4 linked regions of the Macaca fascicularis genome follow. The protein of the gene in region 1 interacts with the protein of each later gene in a pairwise test. Links are inferred from orthologs where the notes say so. Each region holds a gene or a part of one and is shown on either strand. Other genes may lie near its edges. The genes, in order: RAB2A, GARIN6, TBC1D25 and FAM114A1.

Region 1 (6,107 bases):
ACATAACATACAAGGCCCTGCATAACCTGGCACAAGAGACCTCTCCAGGTACTCTCCTCCTCTAACAATGCAAGAATACTCCTGACTCCTAGGATGCCAGGCATTTGTGTGACATCCTGACAGCGTTGTCCAGTTGAGGCTGTTGGTGAAGGAAGGCCATGTCCCTCTATCTTGTGAGAGTGAAGACTTGAGTTTCTCCTCTATCACCCAGGAAGACGTGGGTGAAGGCACTCAAGTGGGAGGGACAAAATGACATCTGAAACCTGGAGGCCTTGGGCAGGGACCTCCCCTTCCTCAAACTAAAGGTGAATGAACCAAATTTTGCGATTCCAGGTAGCTTTTCATGTCAAATTCTTCCATGCCATCCCTCCTCACCCTTTAGTAAAATGCCTTCCAAATATTCCAGAAAAACCTTGTGAGTTCATATTTGGCAAGGCCAACCAAAGCACACAGCAACTCTCCACATCTACCCAGCATGATGGTGTCAGTACTAATTATATAATGAGAGGCCCCAAAGAGAAGAGTATTAGGCAAAAGGAACCAGGGCCACTAAATCCCAATCACTTTTCCCCAGCAATGATTCTCCTTCCATATGAGGTTATGGGTTATGAGGATATGAGTTAGTCAATTAGATTCCTTCCGCAACTTCAAATTCTCTCAACAGATCCCGGAATTTTGCACATTCTGTTCCTTGTCCATAAACTTTGGTTCCCTTCCCCAAACTGCTGTTCTTTTGAGAAACTCAATACATCATTCATATTCCTGGCTCAGAAATCATAATCTCTAAGTAATCTTTCCTGACACTCTATTCTCCACCTCCTCTTCCATAACCTGTGCTCTTTTTGAACAGAGTGGTGACATTTTGGGCTGGATGATTTAAAAAGGAAAGTAGAAAAACAGAACATAGAAATGCAGGGCCTCTAGTTGCTATGCCTGGCAGTACACGAAACATAGTATTCAATAACTATTACTCGAATGCATAGTCATTTTGTTTTTTCCTTTAACAGTATTTCTTAATAGGTAACTCATGAACACTGCAAAAAGCATCAAACTGCACAAAAAAATTCAGGGAAAAGTACATTTTTCCCCCCAATTCCATTCCCTCCTTTCTCTTAATACCAGTTACCTTTCCTTTCAGATTGATTATGCATATATAGGAATGTAAATGTTTTCCCACTATTTGTTACACATAAAAATTGTATACAATTCATATATTACATATGGTGCATGTTATATACACACACATATACAGACTGTCTCGGTTTTCCTTAACCTAAATCAGGCTTTTTTTTTTTGAGCAGCCCTCAAAACCAGGACAGATCCAGAGGCTTTATTCATTTTTATTTACTATTATTATTTTGAGACAGAGTCCCGCTCTGTAGCCCAGGCTGGAGTGCAGTGGTGCAATCTCGGCTCACTACAACCTCCACCTCCCGGGTTCAAGTGATTCTCCTGCCTCAGGCTCCCGAGTAGCTGGGATTACAGGCGAGCGCCACCACGCCCGGCTAATTTTTGTATTTTTAGAAGAGACGCGGTTTCGCCATGTTGGCCAAGTTGGTCTCGAACTCCTGACCTCAGGAGAGAGCAACGTAGTACTCCACTGTATGCGCATACCATGATTTACTTCGCAGTCCCAGATTTACGGTTTCCCATTTATAAATACTGCCATTTTTCACCTTCAAGCCCCGATGCCAAACACAGAAATAACACCTCACCCCCACCCCCTCGCCGTGTGCCTCCCACATTTTCACACACATTTTCAGCAGCCCAGGGCGGGGCCCTGCACCGAACACCGCCTCTGCCGTCCCCCCACGTGCCCCGCGCCCCCACCGCAGGGCGGAAGGCGACAGAACCTAGCCTCTGCATCCCCACCAGTCCCGTTCCCGGCGTCTCCTGGCCGCCGGGCTCGCCCGCTCAAACGTCGCGGAAAGACCAGAGCCCGGACTCGCCTTGCCTAGGGACAGAGCGGACCGAGTAACTCCTGCTCGGTGCGGGGCGGTGCTGCGGCCGCCGGGGCGCGGCCAGCGTGCGGGGCTCCTCCCCCTTCCTCCGGCGGCGCCGGCGGCCGCAGCACTTCCGGGTCGACGCGGAGGCGGGGCGGAGGTGCCGCGGTGGCTGTTATTGTTCGGCTGGGCTCGGTCGGGCGCTGTCTCCTTCGGCTCTGCGGGTGTCAGTTCGTCCGGCTACCTCACAGCCCCTCACTCCCGGCGGCTGACAGCAGCGGCGGCGGCGGCGGGCGGAGCCTGGCGTTTCGAGGCTGAGCGGCGCCGGGGTTAGGGGCGCGGAGGAGGAGCAGTAGCGGGAGGAGGAGCCGTGTGCCCTGGCACTGAGCGGCCGCGGCCATGGCGTACGCCTATCTCTTCAAGTACATCATAATCGGCGACACAGGTGAGGGCCCCGGGCGCGGTCGGGCGAGTGTCGGCGGCCTCCGGACCCGGACTGAGAGGCAAACGGCGTCTGGCGGTGGCGGGGACGCGGACTCCACCCGGCGCCTCCCTCCCGGCCGCGCCGCTCCATTTCCGCAGTGCTGGAGCTGGTGACGTGGGCACTGCGAGCGGCCGCGGCCTGGCCAGGCCCGGTCTGCGGCCCCCGACCGGGCCAGTCTTGCAGCCGAGGGCCGCGGCAGCCGTTTGCGACACTCGATTCAGGAAGTGTGTGACAGGAGGGGAGGCCTAGCGCAGGGCCGCCGGGGCCCGACTCACATGACTGCACCCCACCCCCAGGGCCCCTCGCGTTAGGTCTCTTCGCGGCCCCAGAAGAAAGAAAAAGGGAATCCTAGGCGAGCAGAAGGTGTTGGGACCCGGGTCTTAGTTCCTGACCAGTAACAACCTTCCTCCACCTGCACGCATCTGTCAAGGCCTGGGCAAGGCGCTTTTTGGTGTGGGACAGACAGCTGAGAAGGAGAAAAGGAAAGCTTTAAAATATATATAATATATACATATATGTGCTTTTTTAACACTTTTAACTCTCAAGGCGGAGTAAGTCACGTCTTATTACTTGACGGCTGAAGAATCCCTTTCGGGGTTAGGAAAGCATGAACGAGTTCTGTGCACTTTTGCCACGTGTGAACTGGGGTTATTTAATAGTAATATAAAGTCGTTCAGTGCTCTGGGTGTGTACTTACGTATGTCTGTTGGGGACGCTGCTGTTTTAGATATGTCAGGTTCGGTGTCAACTGCTAATTTTCAGGTGAGCTCATGCCCATTTGAAGCAGAAAGAAATTCAGTTATTCTCACTTAAAATGACATCCTAGTGTATTCCACAGAAACGTAAACAAACTCTTCGTAAATATTTTTAATACCTGTGATTTGGCATTACTTTGAATCTAATAATAAACATAAAGATTGTTTAGATGTTGCAACTATTAATATACCAGAGTCTGATTTCAGTGGTTACTCTTGCACAACTTTGGAGCCTTTGCACAACTTTGGTAATGTAAGCAGCAGTTTGTAGTTGAACTAATGATGTGGCAGGCTCTATAAGTAACTAAATGAGCATGTTGGCCGGACGCGGTGGCTCACGCCTGTAATCCTAGCACTTTTGGAGGCCGAGGTGGGGGATCACCTGAGGTGAGGTCAGGAGTTCGAGACCTGCTTGGCCAACATGGTGAAACCTCGTCTCTACTAAAAGTACAAAAGTTAGCCGGGCGTGGTGGCGGGCCCCTGTAATACCAGCCACTTGGGAGGCTGAGGCAGGAGGATCACTTGAGCCCGGGAGGTGGAGGTTGCAGTGAGCCGAGATCGCGCCACTGCACTCCAGGCTGGGCGACACAGAGACTCCGTCTCAAAAAAAAAAAAAAGGCATGTTGATTGCTGCCTGAAAGAAAAACTTTATGCTAGATAAATGAGTTTTCAGCAAGGTTTTCTGGTGTGTGTGTGTGTGTGTGTGTGTGTGTGTGTGTGTGTGTGTTGAAATTGGATTTATAAACTTTAAAAGAAAAATGCTGTGGTGTATTTGGATGAAGGAAGGAGAATTCTAAAGCCTTCTGGCAAAATTTGATTTAGTCTGTAAAAACAAGATTGGAGAGGAATGCCACATTAACTGTAATATTACTGGGTTTGAGAAATAGAAGCTTGTGACTATGGCCTTTTGGCTATCTCATTAGTGGTGAAGATTCAAATCAGACTTTGCTGATTGCCATTTTTCAGTTTTTTATTTGAGGCTCTACTGTGGGTAAATAAAGTATTGTGCAGGGAGTAGTGGGGCTACAAATCCTAACAAGTTAATGCTCTGTTCTCTTGGAATTTGCTCTTATCCAAAAGCAGTCCCCACGCAGTTCGAAGGGAAGACACTTCTTTCTTGTCATTGCTGCTGATACGACCTAGTTCAGGAATGGAATTCTTGACACTGTGTTGTCTGCAGCAGTACTTCTCCCCACTCCAGTTCAGCCAGTGTAGTTTACTGTCAGTTTAGTCTTCCTGAAGCATGAATGTCAAAAGGCTACTCCCGTTTGCTCACAATTTTTTGTTTGACCTTCAGTGAACTCTGTATTTTAGCCCCTATCTACATTTCTAGCCTTCTTTCCCACTATTCCCCACCTTGCTTCTGCCATTTGAGACCCCGTGGCTGATTTCGGTGTTTTTTTTCCTGGGCCCTGCTACTCTCTATTCTTAGAGTGCTTTCTGGCACAATCTCTCCCTGTGGAAAATCCATCAGTCCTTCAAAGTCTTATCTGAGTTTTCCAAAATGCCTTCACAGTCAACATATATTAAGCTCTTATTGTGTGAAGATTTTCACAGTATCCTGGCTGAAAAGTGACTACTCCTTTTTTGAATTTATGTTTCTCACTCTGTCATTCTTCTGATATTGATCCCAGACTTTTTTGTTTTATAGATATTTGTATAGGCATCTCTATTATGTAGGCATCATTATATACTTCTTGAAGGCAGAAAAGGTGTTATGTATGGCTCTGTGTTTCTTTCAGGAAGAGCCTAGTGAAAGGTAGGCCCTGTATATTTAATTAATAAGAGAGGAGCCAAACAGGCTGCTATATTCCTGTTTGTATAAATAGCTTAACAGAGATTTTTTGTTGTTGTTGTTGTTTTTACCCAGTTCTGCCACTTTCTTGCTTATTAATTTGGGCAAAATCCTTTATCATATTTTTTGAATTCAGAGGATACCCATAGTTGTAAGATACACTCAGTGTGGCCCTCCCCTAGAAAAGATGGCTTTAAAATCAGTAATGTGAGATCCACCTTGATTTTTTAAAAAGTCAGGGTCAAAAACATGCATCTTAGAATGAAGGAAATCACTTAATTTTTCTGTTTCCCTGTTTCCCTAACCTATAACCTTCTCTCAGTATGTGAGATAAAATGAGGATAAATGTGAAAGTACTTTGATTTCTCAAGGGAAAGGAACAATGCACATTTTTCCTTTACAGAGTTCCCTCCTTAGTAGAAGAGGTTTTAAAAACTTTTACATGATCATGATGATACTATTGAGTTGTTTTCTTACTGTAAGACTAAATGCAGTTAAAATGTAGCTTTAAATTGTTTCCTTGTTCCTGTCTTGTTTCTGAGTCATTTAGTAAAATGTGTCATTTAAATCTAGATGTAAAGTGGAAAGTGGTTTTTAATAAGCCGTTATTTATTTAATAAGCAGTTAATTTTCAAGCATAAAAGGAGAGAAAAAATACAAACCTATAGTAATTTTTGCACCTGAAACTCTAGCATCTGCCTAGCATTTTAACCTTATCAATAACCCTCCCTGCCGCTCAATGCTCAGCAAGGTAAACAAAGGCACAAATTTGGTTGCGTTCTTATTTCTGTTAATATCTGAAGCACCCTTTCTTGTTTTTCCCTATCAAAAAAAGTTATGTCAAAGATTTTTGTCACCTGGCCAACTCCTTTTTATCCATTCTTTTGAGATTTTAACAAATCCTACCACTCCCTGTTGCATTTTATGCTGGTCCCCTCCTCTGTTCCCTCATTCTGTTTCGCCTCTCTTCAGTCCCAGTCCCACTTACATTTTATTTTTTATTTATTTTTCTGTCTTATGTATATACCCACCGCTTACATTTTATTTTATTTTACTTTATATTATTTATTTATCTATTGAGACATGATCTCTGTCACCCAGACAGGAGTGCAGTGGCACTATTACGGCTC
Region 2 (5,978 bases), on another chromosome or scaffold:
GTAAAAAAAAAGCACTTAAGTTAAATTTTGCTGTGTCCAATACTACCTATCCAGTTGTCCCTTACGAAAAACACCAGAACCACTTGGATACTTTTAAAATGTTAATTTACTAAATATGTATTTGGTGGCTTGATTTTTGCCAATTACAAGATAAGTAACATAGACTTGAAGTGGAAGTTAAGATATAAAGACTTTAGGAAGGCCAGTAAAAAGTGCTATTGATATGTGAATAGGCATCTCAATAAATAAAATAAAAATACTCCAAGTATCCAAAATAATCACACATTTCAATAAGAAAGGCAGAAATTATGTTTGCATTGACTTATACAACTAAAGACTCAAGTGGGCTGGGCACGGCGGCTCACACCTGTAATCCCAGCACTTTGGGAGGCCGAGGTGGGCGAATCACGAGGTCAGGAGTTTAAGACCAGCCTGGGCCTTTGGGAGGCCGAGACGGGCGAATCACGAGTTCAGGAGATCGAGACCATCCTGGCTAACACGGTGAAACCCCGTCTCTACTAAAATACAAAAAAAATTAGCCGGGCGAGGTGGCGGGCGCCTGTACTCCCAGCTACTCGGGAGGCTGAGGCAGGAGAATGGCGTGAACCCGGGAGGCGGGGCTTGCAGTGAGCTGAGATCCGGCCACTGCACTCCAGCCTGGGCAACAGAGCCAGACTCCGTCTCAAAAAAAAAAAAAAAAAAAAAAAAAGACCAGCCTGGGCAATATGGTAAAACCCAATATGGTAAAACCCTGTCTCTACTAAAAATACAAATTAGCCTGGCATGGTGGCATGTGCCTGTAGTCCCAGTTACTCAGAAGGTTGAGGCAGGAGAATCACTTGAACCCAGGAGGCAGAGATTGCAGTGAGCCAAGATCTCGCCACTAACTCTAGTCTGGGTGGCAGAGTAAGACTCCATCTCAAAAAAAAAAAAAGACTCAACTATGGCTATGGCTGTGTGTGTGTATATGTGTGTGTGTGTGTGTGTGTGTGTGTGTATGTTCATATGGGTTATTATGTGGATTGTTTTCAATAAAGATATTATAATCTTATTAAATTGATAATATTTATAATACCTGGCAAAATTCTTTAGAGCTTTTTTTTTCAATACAATCTGATGGTAAAGAATAGAGCATAAATGTGATGTTTAAGGCTCTTTTCACTCCATAGCCAGGGTACAAATGTCTAGGTAAAAGCTTAAAAATTGCATCAACAGTTTGAGGGTGAGTCAAAACATAAAATTTATCATGGCTGTAGAAACAGAAAAAAAAAATTGCTAATAAAATAGCTTTTTACCTGGTAACAGAAATAAACTTCCCAATAAAAATAGAAATTATAAAGAAAATGAAAGTTACACCTAAGAACTTTAAACATTTCACTGAACATAATTCCATACCCACAAACACATACACATGGTCTTACATAAATTGAATCTCACCTATACTATGAGTTTGAAATCAGTTTTTCTCTTTTTCTTTAAGAAAAAAAAAAAGGTTAGGGATATCTTTTCATGTCAATAAATAGGAAAACCACATAATCATTTTTAGGGCTGTAGACTGTCCCATCACAGAAGGCTCCATAATTTATTTAAGCAATCCCCTATTGTAAGACACTAATGCTGTTTACAATTTTTTACTCTACAATAAACATTGATAAACATCCTGTACTAACGTGTTTACCAATGTATTCAATTCTCTCTTTAAAATAAATGTCTACGACTAGAGGAGCTGGATAAAAGAGTTGACAGAGAATGTATATTAAAGTCTTGCTTCTCACAGAAAATTTACCTCTAATCTTTTTGAAAGCAAATTGCCAGAATGCATTAAGGTCCCCAGATGGGTGGAGGGTCGGGGAGAGTGGTCTGCTGAGCTGTGGAGAGTGGTGGGGCTGAGGGTGGGGTGGAGAGGGTGGTGTCCCTGCCCTGAGGTAGGGGCTGTTGGGTGACAGAAACAAAGGGGTGTGTGATGGGGCAGGTCACAATGGGTAGAGGAGGATAAAAGTGGTCCTGCAGGGTGGTTTAGCAGCAGCGGATGGTTCAGGTTGGGAAGAAGAGCAGTGGGACTGCCAGTTCAGGTTGTGGAATCAAAGAGCAAAGGTTGTTGTGAAGTGGAATATCAGGCTCAAATGGAAGTCCCTCCCAAATGAGCACTGACATCTGTGTGCCTGGATATCCACGAGGGCTCCAACATCTGCGCTCCTGACAGCTCCATGCACTAAACAGGGCACAGTCTGGATCCAGGGGACCAACTGTCTCTGGCATTGAGCAGTTGGCAATCAATACCCCACCCTGTTCTGAGTCATTTGGGGACAAAAAAGAAAGCCTGTAGAACACAACTGCTGGCCCACCTGCCAGAGTGGCCAAGGAAACAGGATGCTCACTAAGGCATGTTAAGGAAGGTGTGGAGCAGCTGCTGGGAACTGTCTTGATAAAAGAAAGACATGGAGGAGCAGTGTATGTTACCGTATTACACTGCCCAAAGCAGCCCCGCAATGGGCATGTTTAATACCTCCATGGGGAAGCTTCAGCGGCAACTGTACAAAGGCGAGTATACTATATTCAGGTATGCACCCATGTTTGAGAGCGACTTTATCCAGATCAGCAAAAGAGGAGAAGTGATGGATGTGCACAACCGTGCCCGAATGGTAACAGTGGGCATTGTTCGCACCAGCCCCTGCCTCACACTACCTGATGTCATGCTGCTGGCCCGACCAGCTGCTGTCTGTGACAACGCCAGGTGTGGTCCTGCCACCCAGAAAACAGATAGTCCGCCTGCAGAGATCTTAGAACTAACCAGACTGCTTCCCTTGATGTTTGTGAAAATAACCATCCACAACAGCATAAAAAAACAGCTCCACCTGAAGCTTGCCACTGGCCGCTCTTTTTATCTTCAGCTGTGTCCCCCCTCAGATGCAAGTGAAGACCTTTTTGTTCACTGGGAAAACCTTGTTTACATCCTGAGACCACCAGTGGAGGCTTACAGTGGTACCAAAGCTATCCTAGCTGGGAGCACATCAGACTCATCTGTGTTTGAGGAAGTGCAGAGAAGCCCAGTGGTGAGTCTATGCAGAGACTAGATGGGGCCAGGATGCTTTTGGGGAGAGCAGGTAAAGGTCCTGTAGAGCCTTTGGTGTTGCAGCTCACCTGGGAAATGCATTGCATTTGGAAGGTCTGAAGGCCAAATGAGCTTCCATTTGGAGGCCATGGCACATTGAGGAGGTTCCTAGTGCTTCTCCAGTGTTCCCCAAACCTGAATTTCAGAGATTTCTTAGCTGTCAGCAACTTTTCATTTTATATTCACAGCTGTTCATTCTATATCCAATGTTGTAATGCTATCCAAAACATCCTGACCAGTCTATTCTGAAACCCATACTATGACCTAGGTAGGCTGATATGTTGTAGGACATGTCTCCCTGCGATTGCCACTTATATACATTGGTGGCAACACAACATGCTTGTGTACATGTGCAATACTTTATTTTTGTTGTTTACCTATAGGAAGAGAAAGGAGATCTTGCTGGTCTCACTTTCTTTGCTTATTTGTTTTCTCCCTAGGGATATGCCATGAAGTTCTGTGAAGAGAAGGAGCAATTCAGAATCAGCAGACTTCACATGAATGCTGAAATGTTTGGGTCCACCTATTATGATTATACAATAGAGATATGAATCCAACATACCTCCCACATATACTACATTCAAGAGTTCACACATTCCTGCAGTCATAAAACCTATAGTGCCTGATAAAGGGGCAGGTTAGCAACAACAGTAGTGATGACAGTAAGCACCACCGCAGGTGCCATGGATGTGGCTGCAACCAAGTCTGCAGGCTCAGAAGAGAAACACAGCACTGGCAAAAGCAGCCTTCAAAGGTCCAGGAGGAAGTATAGCCAGCATGGCTATCGTGGGTGCTTCTATGTCTTAATCTTGTTATAGCAAGGGCTGCATAGACATTCTTGTCCTAAAAGAGTACTTCAAGTACATCAGTAAGTGCTACTGGCCTCTCCCTAGAGAGCAGCATGAATGTGGTGACTACAGGAGCAGAGAGAGACTGTCAATGCAACAGCCTTGTCAGTCTCTCTCTGCTCCTCAAAGACTGACTCTCTGCCACTCAGCATTGGGAGTCAGTATCTCAACTCTGCAGGATGAGGCCACATGAGTGAATGGGATGGAAGTCAGAGGGTCTCTACCTAGCTGGATTGACTCTGCAGTAATAACCTCAAAGTCTGGTACTACACATGGTGCAGAGGTGGACATCTCACCTAAGACTGTGGAGGGGAGGAACATGATTCACCATAATAAAATCCATCAACTCATATTATCTGCTCTAATAACATATGCTCTATTGACAGGAAGGGTAGCAATAAAACTAATAGCAATTTATGATCAGGCTCTGAAAACTATCTTTAACTTTCCCTTAACTTTACATTTTTTATTATAAAAGATAAATAGATGACATAAAATTAATAGATGACAGAATAAAATGTTGAAGATTACTCTCAAAGATATGATCCTACATCAGAAGAATTCTTCTAAAACTATTTTCCAAAATATAAAATGAGAACCCAGAAACACACACACACTCTGTCTCCCTCTCTCTTTCTCTCTCTTGCTCCCGGTTTGAATCATAGCATTGCCACACATTAACTGTGACCTTTAGTAGACTGTTTCTTTAAATGGTCACCTTGAGATTATACATGTATAATATCTGGTACATAGTAGGCACTGTGTAAATGGTGGTGTTGAGAAACAAATTCTGAGTTTAATCATACTTTCCAGAAAGGGCTTAATTTTCCCAGTCTTTTCACTCTTGATTTCCTTTCTTAAATCTTAATTAACTGCTTTGCAATTGTCCCATAAAAGCTCTATTTACAGTAAATCTTCTTAGTATCTTCCCAAGAATTTTAATCCCCTGATATTATTTAGAATTCTAAATTTTCATGAATTTGTACAAACTTCAATCTAGTCACAACAGAAAGACAATTTCAAAGCACTCATCTTTTAGCTGATTCTCTCCAATTTTACTATTCTTGGAGACAGAAAAATAAAAGAACACCTAATATAGGATCAATTCATAATCTGGAAAAAACTGGAAATTAGATAATTTTAGAATTGTAAGATCCACATCCACGGGATTAGCCAATATTCTAATTTTGCAAGTAAAAAATCTGCTTTAGTCTAAAGTAATACCTCATATGGTTTGATAATCCAGAACCAGAATGTATAGGCAACCTGGCCCCCAATTAAGTCTGTATTGTTTCTGTAATACTCATGTTTCTGATGAGCACTATGCTTTGAATATAAAAGATATTTGATACATGTTTGCTGGATCCAATCAAGGGCTATAAATGCGAAATATAATTTATTCCAATCCAACAAATCTGGGGATATAAAATTTTACATAGTACTGTACTAATGGTACAGATCCCAAAGGTTCCTATATATATTGTAAGGAAGCAGTTTACCAGTAGACCCTCACAGCGTTCATGGCTTAATGATTTTTAATGGTCTCCAAAAGTGCTTCAGACCTGAAAAAATGGCTTCAAAATATGAAAAACATTTCACAGGTTAGATGTTCTAGCTTTGTGAATTTCAAGGTTACATTACTGAGAAATCACATCTAATCATAAATCACTTTTCAGCAAATAATGTCAAATGAAAAACTTTTTAAAATAAAACAATTTTTGTTGTTCATGTGGTATGTAGTCCAGTATCATATGATACTGGAGACTCCCTAAGAGGCTTTAAAATGAACATATTGCCAACTCTTAACAGAGACCAACTTTATCTTTGTATTCAAGGACTGTCAGCATGCTTACCACATTGTAGTACCTTGATAATCACAGAAGGGATCATTGCTAAAAGCACTGTGCATTTTGTATCTCTTCTCTAAATCTTCAATCTGACTCAGTCTCTTTTTAAATTGTATATTCCTTTGGTAAATATTTCAATCTGCTTCTCATTACAAATCGTGATGCTTATTA
Region 3 (6,093 bases), on another chromosome or scaffold:
AAAAAAAAAAAATTAAAATGCAAATACCCTTTTTCCTGACAATACCACTGCTAGGAATTTATCCCATGACTGGATGTTTCCAAATACATTACTCCCTCTTTATCTACAGGGGATATATTCCAAGACCCCCCAGTGGATGCCTGAAACTGCAGATAGTACCAAGACCTACATATACTATGTTTTTTTTTTTTCATATACATACATACCTATGAAAAAGTTTAATTGATAAATTAGGCACAGTAAGAGATGAACAATAATAGAACAATTATGACAATACAGATGCTTCTTGACTATGACAGGATTATGTACCAATAAACTCATCATAAGTTCATAAGTTGGAAATACTGTAAGTTGACCATGCATTTGGCTGGGCGCAGTGCCTCACCTGTAATCCCAGCACTTTGGGAGGCTGAGACGGGCAGATTGCTTGAGCTCAGGAGTTTGAGACTGCCCTAGGCAACATGGCGAAACCCTGTCTCTACTAAATATACAAAAATTGGCCGGGTGCAGAGGCTCATGCGCCTGTAATCCCAACACTTTGGGAGGCCGAGCTGGGCAGATCCCTTGAGGTCAGGAGTTCGAGACCAGTCTGACCAATATGATGAAAATTAGCTGAGTGTGGTGGCACACACCTGTAATCCCAGCTACTCGGGAGGCTGAGGCATGAGAATCGCTTGAACCTGGGAGGCAGAGGCTGCAGTAAGCCAAGATTGGGCACTGCACTCCAACCTGGGTGACAGAGTGAGACTCTGTCTCAAAAAAAAAAGAGAAGATCAAAAAACTATCCGGGGCTGGGAGTGGTGGCTCACACCTGTAATCCTAGCACTTTGGGAGGCCGAGGCGGACAGAAAACTTGAGGTCAGGTGTTCGAGACTAGCCTGACCAACATGGTGAAACCTTGTCTCTACTAAAAATACAAAAATTAGCCAGGCATGGTGGTGCGTGCCTGTAATCCCAGCTACTTGGGAGGCTGAGGCAGGATAATCACTTGAACCCAGGAAGTGGAGGCTGCAGTGAGCCGAGACTGCGCCATTGCACTGCAGTCCAGGGGATAAGAGCAAAACTTCGTCTAAAAAAAAAACCGTTATCCCGGCATAGTGGTGCACGCCTGTAGTCCCAGCTACTTGAGAGGCTGCGACAGGAGAATCACTTGAACCCGGGAGATGTCACTGCACTCCAGCCTGGGTGATAGTGAGACTCTGTCTCAAAAAAAAAAAAAAAAAGAAAAGAAAAGAAAAAAAAAAGAAAAATGCATTTAACACACCTAACCTACCAAACATCACAGGTTAGCCTAGCCTTCGTTAAACGTGCTCAGAACACTCACATTAGCCTACAGTTGGGCAAACTCATCTAACACAGAGCCTACTTTATAATAGTGTTGAATATTTCACGTAATTTATTGAACACTGTACTGAAAGTGAAAAGCAGAATGGCTTGCAGTACAGTCTCTACCAAATGCGTATCGCTTTTGCACCATTGTAAAGTTGAAAAATCCTAAGTCCAGTTATTGTAAGTTGGGGACTATCTGTAAACTGTAATAAAAGTAATGTGAATGTGGTCTCTCTCTCTCTCAAAATAACTTATTGTATGTAATATTTGCAGACTGAGGTTGACCATGGGTAACTGAAACTGCAGAAAGCAAAACCACAGATAAAAGTAGACTGCTGTACTCCAAGACATGCATATGTGGCTGTTCACTGTGGGATTATTTGTAGTAGTAAAATAAACACAAACCCTACCAAACAAACAAAGGCTAGATAACCACTGTAGAGGTGGGTGGCCCACTGGCCAGTCCCCAGCATCTTCCCACTCACCCACTCAAATCAAAGGCTCGGATGAGGATGTGCTGCAACACGTCAAGCGAGGTGATCTGGGGATCTACAGCAAAAGAGCGGAACTCTGGCGGTAAGAAGCTCTCACATTTCTGGGGAGAGAAGACATGGGGTAGGCCACCAGGGGCCTCATCACCATGCTGAAGAGTGAGGTGCAGAGTGGTAGAAGGCAAAGTCAGAGAGGTGCCAGGGGCCAGATCAAGGCAGGTGTTCTGGACCATAGGGTCCAGTGAGGAGGCGGCTACTGCAAGGGTTCAGGCCCCCAATCCTTCTTCTATATCCCTTCAACTGTGGTTGCCAGAATCACCATATCCAGTCTGGCTCCTGTTAAATCAGTCCTCTATGATGCTGTAACCAATCTAGCACATCTACCTACAACACTCTCCTGCTTAAATCTCTTCAATGGCAACCCTAGAGTCCCAGCAAGCGGGCCTATGGGGCCCCAGCCAGCCTCTCACCAGGTTTTTTGAACTTTATACTCTGGTAGTACCAAACTGTTAGAAGTTACCTTGAAACCATCCTGACTCCAGGCCATTGATTGTGCTGATCCCCTGTCTGGAACATCCCTCCCACTTTCTTCACGTGGTTCACTCCCAGCTCAGGCATCTTTTTTTCTGAATGTCAAACTTCTACCTTAGAGCTTTATTACACTGAAGTGATGTGTGGACCCTCTTATCACTGCCAGTGCCACTGGTTGGTTGGAGCCACCATCATTGTTTACGGAACTATGGCAACAGCGTTCTTCCTCAGCATATACACCAAAGGCCCTTGGCGATCTGCCTCTGTCTTAGCACTCTGATTCACCTCCTACCACTCTTCCCCTCATTCTCTCCACTCCAGCAATCAGGAACCTACGGGAACATGCCAGGCCCATTCCCATCCTCTAGCCTTTGCCCTTGCTATTCCTTCTGCCTAGAATACTCTTCCCTTCTAATATGCACATGGCTAACTCCTTTTATTCGGGTCTCTGCTCCTTCAGTACCTCCTCTGGGGATTTCCCTGTACAACCTTGGCTAAAGTGACTCCCTGTTGCATAACCTTTTTCATTATTTGAGTGTCCGAAGCATCTCATTTCTTTAGTTGTCTCCACCCACGAGCCTGTCAGTTCATCAAAGTGGGAACTTGCACATGAGTGCACTCTCGACACATACGGGTTGACTGACTCCAGAGCCAGCACCTTCTCATTCCTCAGAGCCCCACCCTCAACTACTGCGGCCCCTCCTCCAGCCCGTAGCCCCTCCCCTTTGTCTATAAGCTCCACCCATTTATCCCATAGACCCCCGTCTCTCCATTTTCAGTCCCACGCCCCAAGGTACGTCGCTAACGCTCCCAAGCTCTCAGGCCCTCCCTCCCCCTCGCCACCATCACTTGGCCCTCAAGCTTCGCCGCTCAGGTTTTGTCCCAAATCTCAGGTCCCGCTCTCCATCCTACGACAGCCACCGCCTCCCCCTCCCCTGGGATGCCTCGGCGCCTGGGCCGACTCACCCGCCAGCCTCACCTTGACTCGGACCCGCACCACCTCTCGCTCCTCCTCCTCAGCGGCCGCCGCCGCCTGAGCTCCCACGCCGGGCGGGGGCGCTCCGGAGCCAGACAAATCCGAAGCCCCGGAGGCTGTCGCCATCCCGCCGCCGCCCGTCTCAGGGTGACGGTTGACCGTTGCCCCCCAACCCGGCGCACACTCTACTGTACTGACGCCCGCCGCCCCACCTCGTGCCGGGGCGCAGGCGCAGAGGGCTCTGCGCGACCCTACCCCCCCACCGTCCCTCCCACCTGGCCCTGCCTGGAGGTCGCCTCTGCGCCTGCGCCTAGATGCTGTTGCCAGGAGCCCCGCCCCCAAAAGTCGGGCATTTTGCTTTATTTCAGCTAGCGTGAGGACGCCTACTGAGGCCCCGCCTCCCCCAGCCCCGTGGTTTGGTTGTTTTGACAGCCTACTTCCGGATTCATAGAGGTGTTATACTGACACCTCGTTCGCCAAGAGAAGTGGGCGGGGAAAGGAAGGGGCTGCGTGATGACGTCAGGCCCCATACCCCGCCTCAAGTTGCCTCACGCCTCTGCTAACAGATGATGTCATCTATTTCAAATTGGCCCTCGCTTCAAATGAATCCACTGAACGGGAAAGAAATCCTTTTTTTTTTTAAGGCAGGGTCTCGCTCTGTCACCTAGGCTGTAGTGCAATGGCGCGATCACAGCTCACTGCAGCCTCAAAGTGAGCTATGATCAAGCTATCCTCCTGCCTTAGCCTCCCGAGAGCTGGGACTACAGGAGCGCGCTACCACACACAGCCAATTTTTGTGTATCTTGTAGAGAGAGGGTTTAGTCTTGTTGCCCAGGCTAGTCTCGAACTCCTGACCTCAGGTGATCCGCCCATCTTGACCTCCCAAAGTGTTGGGATTACAGGTGTGAGCCATAGCCCCTAGTTAAAGTGTTTTAAAAAATATACTCAGCAGGGTGCAGTGGCTCACGTCTCAGCACTTTGGGAGGCCGAGGCGGGCAGATCTCTTGAGCCCAGGAGTTCTAGACAGCGAGACTCTGTCTCTTAACAAAAAATTAAACAATTAGCTGGACGTGGTGGCGCACACCTGCAGTCCCAGCTACTCGGGAGGCTGAAGCAGCAGGATAGCTGAGCCCAGGAAGTCAAGGCTGCAGTGAGCCCTGCTCACACCACTGCCCTAACCTGCACCACAGGGCAAAGCCCTGTCTCAAACAAAAATTAATAATTTACACCCTGACTTAGTAAGGTCAGACAAAAAACAGGAAAATGGTTTACACATTGTGAAAATTCATAGAGATTTTGTACACTGATGATTTTTGTACTTCCTGTATGAATGTTACACTTCATTAAATAATTTACCCCCCAAAAAAACTTTTATGCTCTTTGGAGTTCTAGCTTTGGTTTGCCTTTGTCTGAAACTTGACGAGATCATATTTTCCCAAGTTTATACAACTAGGAGGCAAACTTCCAGGTAATTCAACTCCAGTTGACACTAATGCTTCTAACTGAAACCCAGGAAGAAGTTAACAATCAAGACTTCAGAAGGCAGAAAGCGAGACAGACCCAGGGAGCTCAGAAGCATATCTCTAAAGCTCTGCCATTATTGAACCAGTTCAAAGGATCCCTGGTCTTTATGTCCCTTTTCCAAGTTTCACATTCTCAGATCTTGGAGAATCAGTGAATCATTGGAAGAGCCCTCTCTCCAGCTTGGTCTAGAGATTTATTTGAAACCTGACTAAAATGTTGGTACTGACTGCCAGGGACGCATTGAAAGAGAAGTGGCCAGGCTCAACTACAAACCAACCAATGGAGCCCAAATGATACCATCTGTAAAAGATCAGCTTTCTGGGGTCCCAGAGCAGGGTGGATAACGGATCTGGAAGAGCAAATGGGGAATGCCCAGCAGAGCATGCAAAAGGCTTAGCAATGTGCTGAGCACATAGTTAGTGCTCAAAACAATGAATGCAAGAAGCCAATAATAAATGAAGAAAAAATTTTAAAAATAAACTGAGTCAGGCACAGTGGCTCACACTTGTAATCTCAGCATTTTGGGAAGCCGAGGTGGGAGGATTGCTCGAGCCGGGGAGTTCGAGACCAGCCTGGGCAACACAGGAAGACCCTGTCCCTACGAAATTAAAAAAAAAAAAAAAAAAAAAAAATTAGCTGGGTGTGGGTGCGTACCTGTGCTCCTAGTGTTCGGGAGGCTGAGGTGAGAGGATTGCTTGAGCCTGGGAGGTCCAAGCTGCAATGGAGCTGTGATCACACCACTACACTCCAGCCTGGGTGACAGAGTGAGACCCTGATTCAAAAAAAAAAAAAAAGCCCACAACATGTTAAGGTTGGTCCTGCTCTTAAACAGTGTATGTCTACTAGATATTGGCTGAATTATTAAATATATCTTAGACTTTTCTGAGAAACTTTATGTATGGCAAAATGCAAAAAGGCAGTCTTCCCACTTAATGGCACAACATCCGTGCGGTCTGGACAAAATACAGGCTGTACTTACAAATGTTAATTTCCAACAAAGGAGTCTTGTAAGATACTAGCACTCCAACTATTGTGTCCGTGTCATATGGATGCAACCCTCAAGGTTAACTTTTTAGGCAAGTCTACAATTCTATTTTGGTGTCTTTTAAGATAACATGTTGCCTTGGTATTAATATTAGATAGATATCTCTACTTTTAGAAGGTATAAATAATGGGGATTTTCTCTGAAAGCCAGAAAAGGATTATTGGCATGTCTCTCTTGCCCCATGTGCTTAGAGTCAA
Region 4 (6,123 bases), on another chromosome or scaffold:
GACTCCAAACCTGAAGGTGACTAGAAGCTTAGCTGAGTCCTGCCTCTAGAACACAGGCCTAAAAGGACAGTGAGCTAGGACTTCCTTGAGCTTATAAGAACAGACTGGTTAACTAAGCCTGTTTGCTAATACATGTGTGGGTTTATGGCAGAATTCCATCAGTGAACTTGGATTCCTGGGAATTTAGCTCTTGGTAGGGAAGTTGCAGAGGAGGAAATCTATAGCCCTTACCTATGTCTGATGGCCAAATTGCCTTAGGTCAGTTTATCCCAAATGTAGAAAAAGTGCTGCAATAAAACTCTTCTCTGTGGCTGCTCTACATTCAACCAACACAAACCATCCCTTCAGAAATACCCCAGAAACTCAGCTGTAAGATGTTAAACAGGCATTGTTAAAAAATATTTATGGATTATTATTTAAAATATTTATGGATTATTGTTTAAAATATTTATGGATAATTTATAAATTTTAGAAATTCTAGATCTTTATATCTGTTAAATTTAAAAATGGTCATCGGTCAGGCACAGTGGCTCACATCCCAGCACTTTGGGAGGCCAAGGTAAGCGGATCACTTGAGGCCAGAGTTCCAGACCAGCCTGGCCAGCAGAGTGAAATCCTGTCTCTACCAAAAATACAAAAAAAATTAGCTGGGCATGGTGGCATGTGCCTGTAATCCCAGCTACTCTGCAGGCTGAGGCATAAGAATTGCTTGAACCTGGGGGGCAGAAGCTGCAGTGAGCCAAGATCGTGCCACTGCACTCCAGCCTGGGTGACACAGTAAGACCCCGACTCAAAAAAAAAAAAAAAAAAAAAAGCCCTAATTCAATTTCTAATTGTAAAAAAAAAAAAAAAAAAAGAAAGGGTCATGCAAGATCAGCCCTATTTCAATTTCTCATTTTTTGTTTGGTTGTTCTGGTAGACCTTTATCGACTGTGGATGCTATCATGATGGGGGAAATGTAATCATTTTTCAGTCTGTACCCTTTTGTATGAAACCACTAGAAACTGCGTGTTTGAAATACACAACTGTTTCTGAGCAGGGGCTGCTGGAGTCCACCAGGATTACAGTCGTGACAAGCACTGTGTTTCCTGGGACACTTTCCATCTCCATCTGGGTGTTCCATAAGCCAGACTTAGAAACCTTTCCTGATTTATGGTTAGGAAGATTGATCACTGTAGCCATGTCTCGTGGCCTGGAGGCTAAGGAGACTCAACCCACAGCAACAAGGAGGCTGCTTCAGGAAACTCTAAGGAGAGGAAGGGTCACATATAAAGAAGCCTTTGTGGGCTGGGAATAAGTTAGTTTTTCATGAGTAAATTCATTCATCACCGAAAATGCTCCCAGTACTATGCGAGGTATTGAAGCAGCAACATCCCAGCTCGAAAAATAAGTATAAAAAAAGTATGGTCACTATCCTTCAGAAATGAATCATCTGTTTGAGGAGTTAACACAAAACAGTTAAAAAGTGATGCAAAACAGCACAGCAAATCAAGGACAGATGTGCCTGAACTAGACTGACCCTGTGCAAAGGAGAACCTTGAAAGTGTCTTTGAAGTGGTAATTCAAGCCTGGTGGGATGAGAGCATGTGCAAATGTCCAAGCATTAGGGATGGACTCTAGCGATTCAGGACAGGTGTCTGAGAGGCCAGGACACGAGGCTGTGTGGGGAATAATGAGAGGTGAGAGCAATGGTATTCAGAGGTGGGAAGAGTTGTGCCCTGCAGGCGTTAAGAGATGTGGCCTGTGGTCCCAGCATCCTTTTGTGGGCACAGAACTTACTCATCCTCACTGCGCTTACACCTGCTCCTCTGTAAAGCTAGGATGGACAAACTGATTTGGATGCTTTTTTTCCAAACCCCACCTGCAGGACTGGGGCAAGTCTGTGATGATAGAGAAAAATGAGGACAAGATCGCAAGTTTTTCATAAATCTAAATTTATTAAATGTAAAAGACTGCCTTCATCTTGCAAGTTTAGCCTTTGTGCTTTTTCTTGGTATTGAAATGCCTTTCATTTTATGAAATAGTAGTGACAGTAGATGGATTTTTTTAAAAAAATGGCCTCAGTTGGCAGCATAAAAATTTGGTTAGCATGATATCCTGTGTGAGGTCATCTCCCCCAGTTTAAAAAAAAAAAAAGTGTTGGTCAGCGAAGGACCAGGAATAAAATCTCTGTATGAGAGGCTCTTAATCAGGTTGTAACAGTTTGTGTGAGTTTGTATAAGGCTTGACAAGTCTATGTACCCAGGCTTCAGCCTATTCTCTGTGTGACTGCCAGGCATTTTTGGACCTACTTCCTCCCCTGTTTAAAAACCATTAGGTGTAAATATCTTCGCACTTCCCATCATAATCCAGCTCCAATCTCTCTCCACCTCTTGCAACTCTCAGTGCCCTCCACTCCTGCCTCACCAGTCTTTTCTCCATTCCCCGTAACTCTTCACATCTCCCTGCCTTTGCTTATGTTGGTTCCTCTGCCCTGGTGCTGCCCTTCCTCCAGCTGCCTGGCAAACTCCTATTCCTCTAGATACCCAATGTCTAATGTTCTCTTTCATTGTGAATTTTTCCTTAATCTGCCCCACTCCTTCCAGTGAAATAACTGCTCCCTCTTCTACGTTTTTGGCACTTTGCACAGATTTCTATTGCATGTATTTATGGAGTATTTACTTCTGCCATTCTGTCCTCCAAGACTATGACCAACAGCATCTAGGTTCGTTTCTGTCCCTCAGATATTTACTGGATTGAAATATATTGTGTTCGATATTAATAAAAGAGAAACCAAGTTTGAGATAAGCCTGGTCAAATAAAGAAAGACAAGTTTACTTTTATGGTCTGAATCGCTCAGATTCAAGAAGGCCCCCTCCCACCCTCAAATTCCTTCTGCATTGGCTCACTTGTGCCTCAAATCCATCCCTAAAGTCTCATTCCTTCACTTAAAGGTTACAATGTAAGAAGTTTATCAGATTATTTCCCAAGCTCAGGCTTGATGGAAGAACGGAGGGAGGGGACACAGGCATAGGAGTGAGGTAGAGAAGCAGCCACTGGGCTGCAGAGAGGGCAAAAGAGGCTCCGAGGATAGAGGCTGTCTCATTCTCAGTTGTCACAGGTTGGCTGAGGTCACAGGGAGTTCAGAGGACACTGATTTAAAAAGCCACCTGCTTGTGTCCTTCAAGATGTTTAGGACGGGAACGGATGGGGTCAGCAGGGCATAGCTAATGCTCTCAGCCCGTGGATAGATGTCTTCCTACTTAGGAAAGGGCAGTGACATTGAGGCGCCTGGTCTGAGGTGCCTGGAAATACTCACCGGATGGCAGGGGCGAGGGCTAGCTGACTGGTTGGAGGGGGCCTGGGGAGCTGGGGTAGGGAGTGGGACTCATCCCGGGGGCTGCGAATGGAGGCGGTGCCTGTTTAGAGTGTTGGCTGGACTGGAAGAGCAGGCAGGGCGTGGGTCGGCTGCTGGAGGAGGGGTAAGGCGAGGGAGCGGGGAGGTCAAGGCCTGAGCTCCCTGTGCCAAGGCCGAGGGCAGGCGCACCCTGGGAAGAGGCCTCAGTCTTACAGGGACCTGCTCCCTCCGTGCCCGGGCTGGGGGGCCCTGCAGCCCGCCTCTGACTTGGCCCTGAGCCACTGAGGCACTTTTCCAGACTTGCTTGGTGCCAGGACTGGATAGTTTGGGAGATCCAGGCAGGCTCCGTGGAGGTTCACGCCGGCCGAGGGGGCAGACCCTGAGTGTGGGCGTGTGGGTGTGTGCATGAGCGTGGACCCGGAGCGACACACACTCACACACACACACTCACACGCCCGCACCCACGCAGGGCCCTCGGCCGCGCCACCCCGGACCCTCACCCCAGAGCCAGGTCCTCCCTGACCGCGGCTTCTCACTAACGCAGAGGGCAGGATTCGTGGGTCCCAGACGAGGCGCCACAGTATGGTGTTCCCACCACCCCGGGGCGGCCGCCCCCGCGCTCGCCCGCCCCCCGGGGAAGGGGATGGGGACAGGTTGCCCGGGGCTCTTACCGCTCAGGCGGCCGAGTACGCGCGGGAGTGCCCGGTGGGTCCCGCCCCGCCACGTCTGCAGGGCCGGCGGGGACGCGGCCGGAGGGCGGGCGGGGAGCGGGCAGGGGGCGGGCGGCTGGAGAGGGGGCCCCGCCCCGCCTGCGCCCCGCCCCACGGGGAGCGCCGCGGGGACGCCCGGCCACCCCCACGCTGCGAGGGGCAGGGCCCGCGCTGGGCGAGCCTCCTGGAAACTTGGTTTGTCCCACCCCTGTGCCAGCCCAGAGAACCAGAGCGCGCCCCCTGTCCAACCGAGGGCGGGTGAGTCTTGGGGTTCGCCAGATCCCTTTCCTTAAAAGCGCTTGGAAAACCCCCGCCGTGTCACTGGGAAGAGGTCGCGCAAGTTCAGATAAAGTTTGAGCTCCTGATTCTGCGTTAAGCAGCACTCCCTTGCCCTGTCCGTGGGAGTGTGATAGATTTAAAACAAACAAACCCCAAACAAACAGCGAAAACCCACTTTCCAGAAGGCCAGTTTGGAGCTGTGGGTCAAAATTCCGATGTATTAGCTTTGGCCTAGGAATTCCACATTTGCTAATTTGTCCTAAGTAGGCAGTCAAATGGGCAAACATGTATGTACAAGGATGTTTATTGTAGTTGCTTCTGTGGGGGGAAGCTGGAGACAATCTAAATGTCCCCCAGTAAGACTGGTGAAGTAAGCTACAGTAGCTTCAGACATCGAATATGTTGTAGCCCTTAAAAATGAGAATTCGTTGACATGGAAGGAAGGCCACATAGTAAGGCCTTCCTCAAATATGGCTTAATATGAACTCAGATGCAGAGGAAGTGCAGTGTTTACAGTATTAACTAGTTTTGTAAACAATTTTGTGTTTTATATAAAAGTCAGGGGAAAGACAATTTAAAAACAGTGATTCTTTGTGAGCGATGTGTTTAAGGCAGATTTTCTCTTCTTTCTCCCACTCCATACCCTCTTATTTTTAAAAAATTATAAATTCAAAGTTAAAGAAAATATAGCCTCACCCTCTCTTCTTCAATATCACTACCATTTCTTATAGTGTGTGGATCCTACCATAGCTTTTCTAAGCGTATATAAACACAAGTGTGCATAAACAGCTTTTTGTTTGCTTTTTTATAAAAATGGTGAGATGTTGACATATTTTGTAAATTTTCCCCTATTACATATTATAATCATCTTTCTTGGTCAATACATATCAACCAAAACCACTCTTCTAAGATTTGTCTTACATATTGTTATATGTTTGTAACTATATTTCATTCAATCATTCTCTTTTTGACAGACAATTAGGTTGTTACTTATATTCCAGTTTCTTCCATATACATTAATTAATTTATTACTTTATTTTTTTTGAGACGGAATCTTGCTCTGTCATCCAGGCGGGAATGCAGTGACATGATATCAGCTCACTGCAGCCTCTGCCTCCCGGGTTCAAGCAATTCTTCTGCCTCAGCCTCCCAAGTTGCTGGGATTACAGGTGCGTGCCACCACACCCGGCTAATTTTTGTATTTTTTAGTAGAAACGGAGTTTCACCATGTTGGCCAGGCTGGTCTCGAACTCCTAACCTCAGGTGATCCACCCACCTCAGCCTCCCAAAGTGCTGGGATTACAGGCATGAGCCACCGCGCCCAATTATATTTTTTCTTTAATTTTTCATTAAATATTTTCATATTAATAATTTTTTAAGCTACTGAATATTTATTTTATTATGTTTTTTAGGGTGACAGAGTCTTGATTTGTGGCCTAGGCTGCACTTCAGAGGCACCATCTCCATCTCCCGGGTTCAAGCGATTCTTCTGCCTCCCGAGTAGCTGAGATTACAGGCACCTGCCACCATGCCTGGCTAATTTTCGTGTTTTCAGTAGAGACTGGGTTTTGCCATGTTGGCAAGGCTGGTCTCGAGCTCCTGACCTCAAGTGATCTGCCCACCTCGGCCTCCCAAAGTGTTGGGATTACAGCCGTGAGCCACCATGCCCAGCCTGTTATTTTTAAATTCACAGAAAAACTAGAAAGTTGTCTTAATGTGAGAGTGGGTGGAAACTGCTTTAAATTGAGATCAATAGCCTTTTTGAATTGAGCAAGACTTTGAACGTTAACACTTGGC

Evidence for each region.
Region 2: the proteins of RAB2A (region 1) and GARIN6 interact in binary tests that used the Homo sapiens proteins (3 or more experiments, as listed by UniProt). The two-hybrid records come from large-scale screens. The link is inferred for Macaca fascicularis from reciprocal best matches to the Homo sapiens genes RAB2A and GARIN6.
Region 3: the proteins of RAB2A (region 1) and TBC1D25 interact in binary tests that used the Homo sapiens proteins (3 or more experiments, as listed by UniProt). The link is inferred for Macaca fascicularis from reciprocal best matches to the Homo sapiens genes RAB2A and TBC1D25.
Region 4: the proteins of RAB2A (region 1) and FAM114A1 interact in binary tests that used the Homo sapiens proteins (3 or more experiments, as listed by UniProt). The two-hybrid records come from large-scale screens. The link is inferred for Macaca fascicularis from reciprocal best matches to the Homo sapiens genes RAB2A and FAM114A1.

The regions. Positions count from the first base shown.
Region 1 is NC_088382.1:70,468,415-70,474,521, forward strand, and holds the start of RAB2A (ras-related protein Rab-2A), read left to right. Parts: upstream 1-2,120; 5' UTR 2,121-2,342; coding exon 2,343-2,388; intron 2,389-6,107.
Region 2 is NC_088385.1:106,654,705-106,660,682, forward strand, and holds GARIN6 (Golgi-associated RAB2 interactor protein 6), read left to right. Parts: upstream 1-2,021; 5' UTR 2,022-2,438; coding exon 2,439-3,053; intron 3,054-3,552; coding exon 3,553-3,663; 3' UTR 3,664-4,312; downstream 4,313-5,978.
Region 3 is NC_088395.1:48,685,299-48,691,391, reverse strand, and holds the start of TBC1D25 (TBC1 domain family member 25), read right to left. Parts: upstream 3,571-6,093; 5' UTR 3,454-3,570; coding exon 3,331-3,453; intron 1,925-3,330; coding exon 1,815-1,924; intron 1,803-1,814; coding exon of another isoform or gene 1,745-1,802; intron 1-1,744. UniProt on the Homo sapiens protein: Acts as a GTPase-activating protein specific for RAB33B. Involved in the regulation of autophagosome maturation, the process in which autophagosomes fuse with endosomes and lysosomes.
Region 4 is NC_088379.1:38,160,077-38,166,199, reverse strand, and holds the start of FAM114A1 (protein NOXP20), read right to left. Parts: upstream 4,066-6,123; 5' UTR 4,009-4,065; intron 1-4,008. UniProt on the Homo sapiens protein: May play a role in neuronal cell development.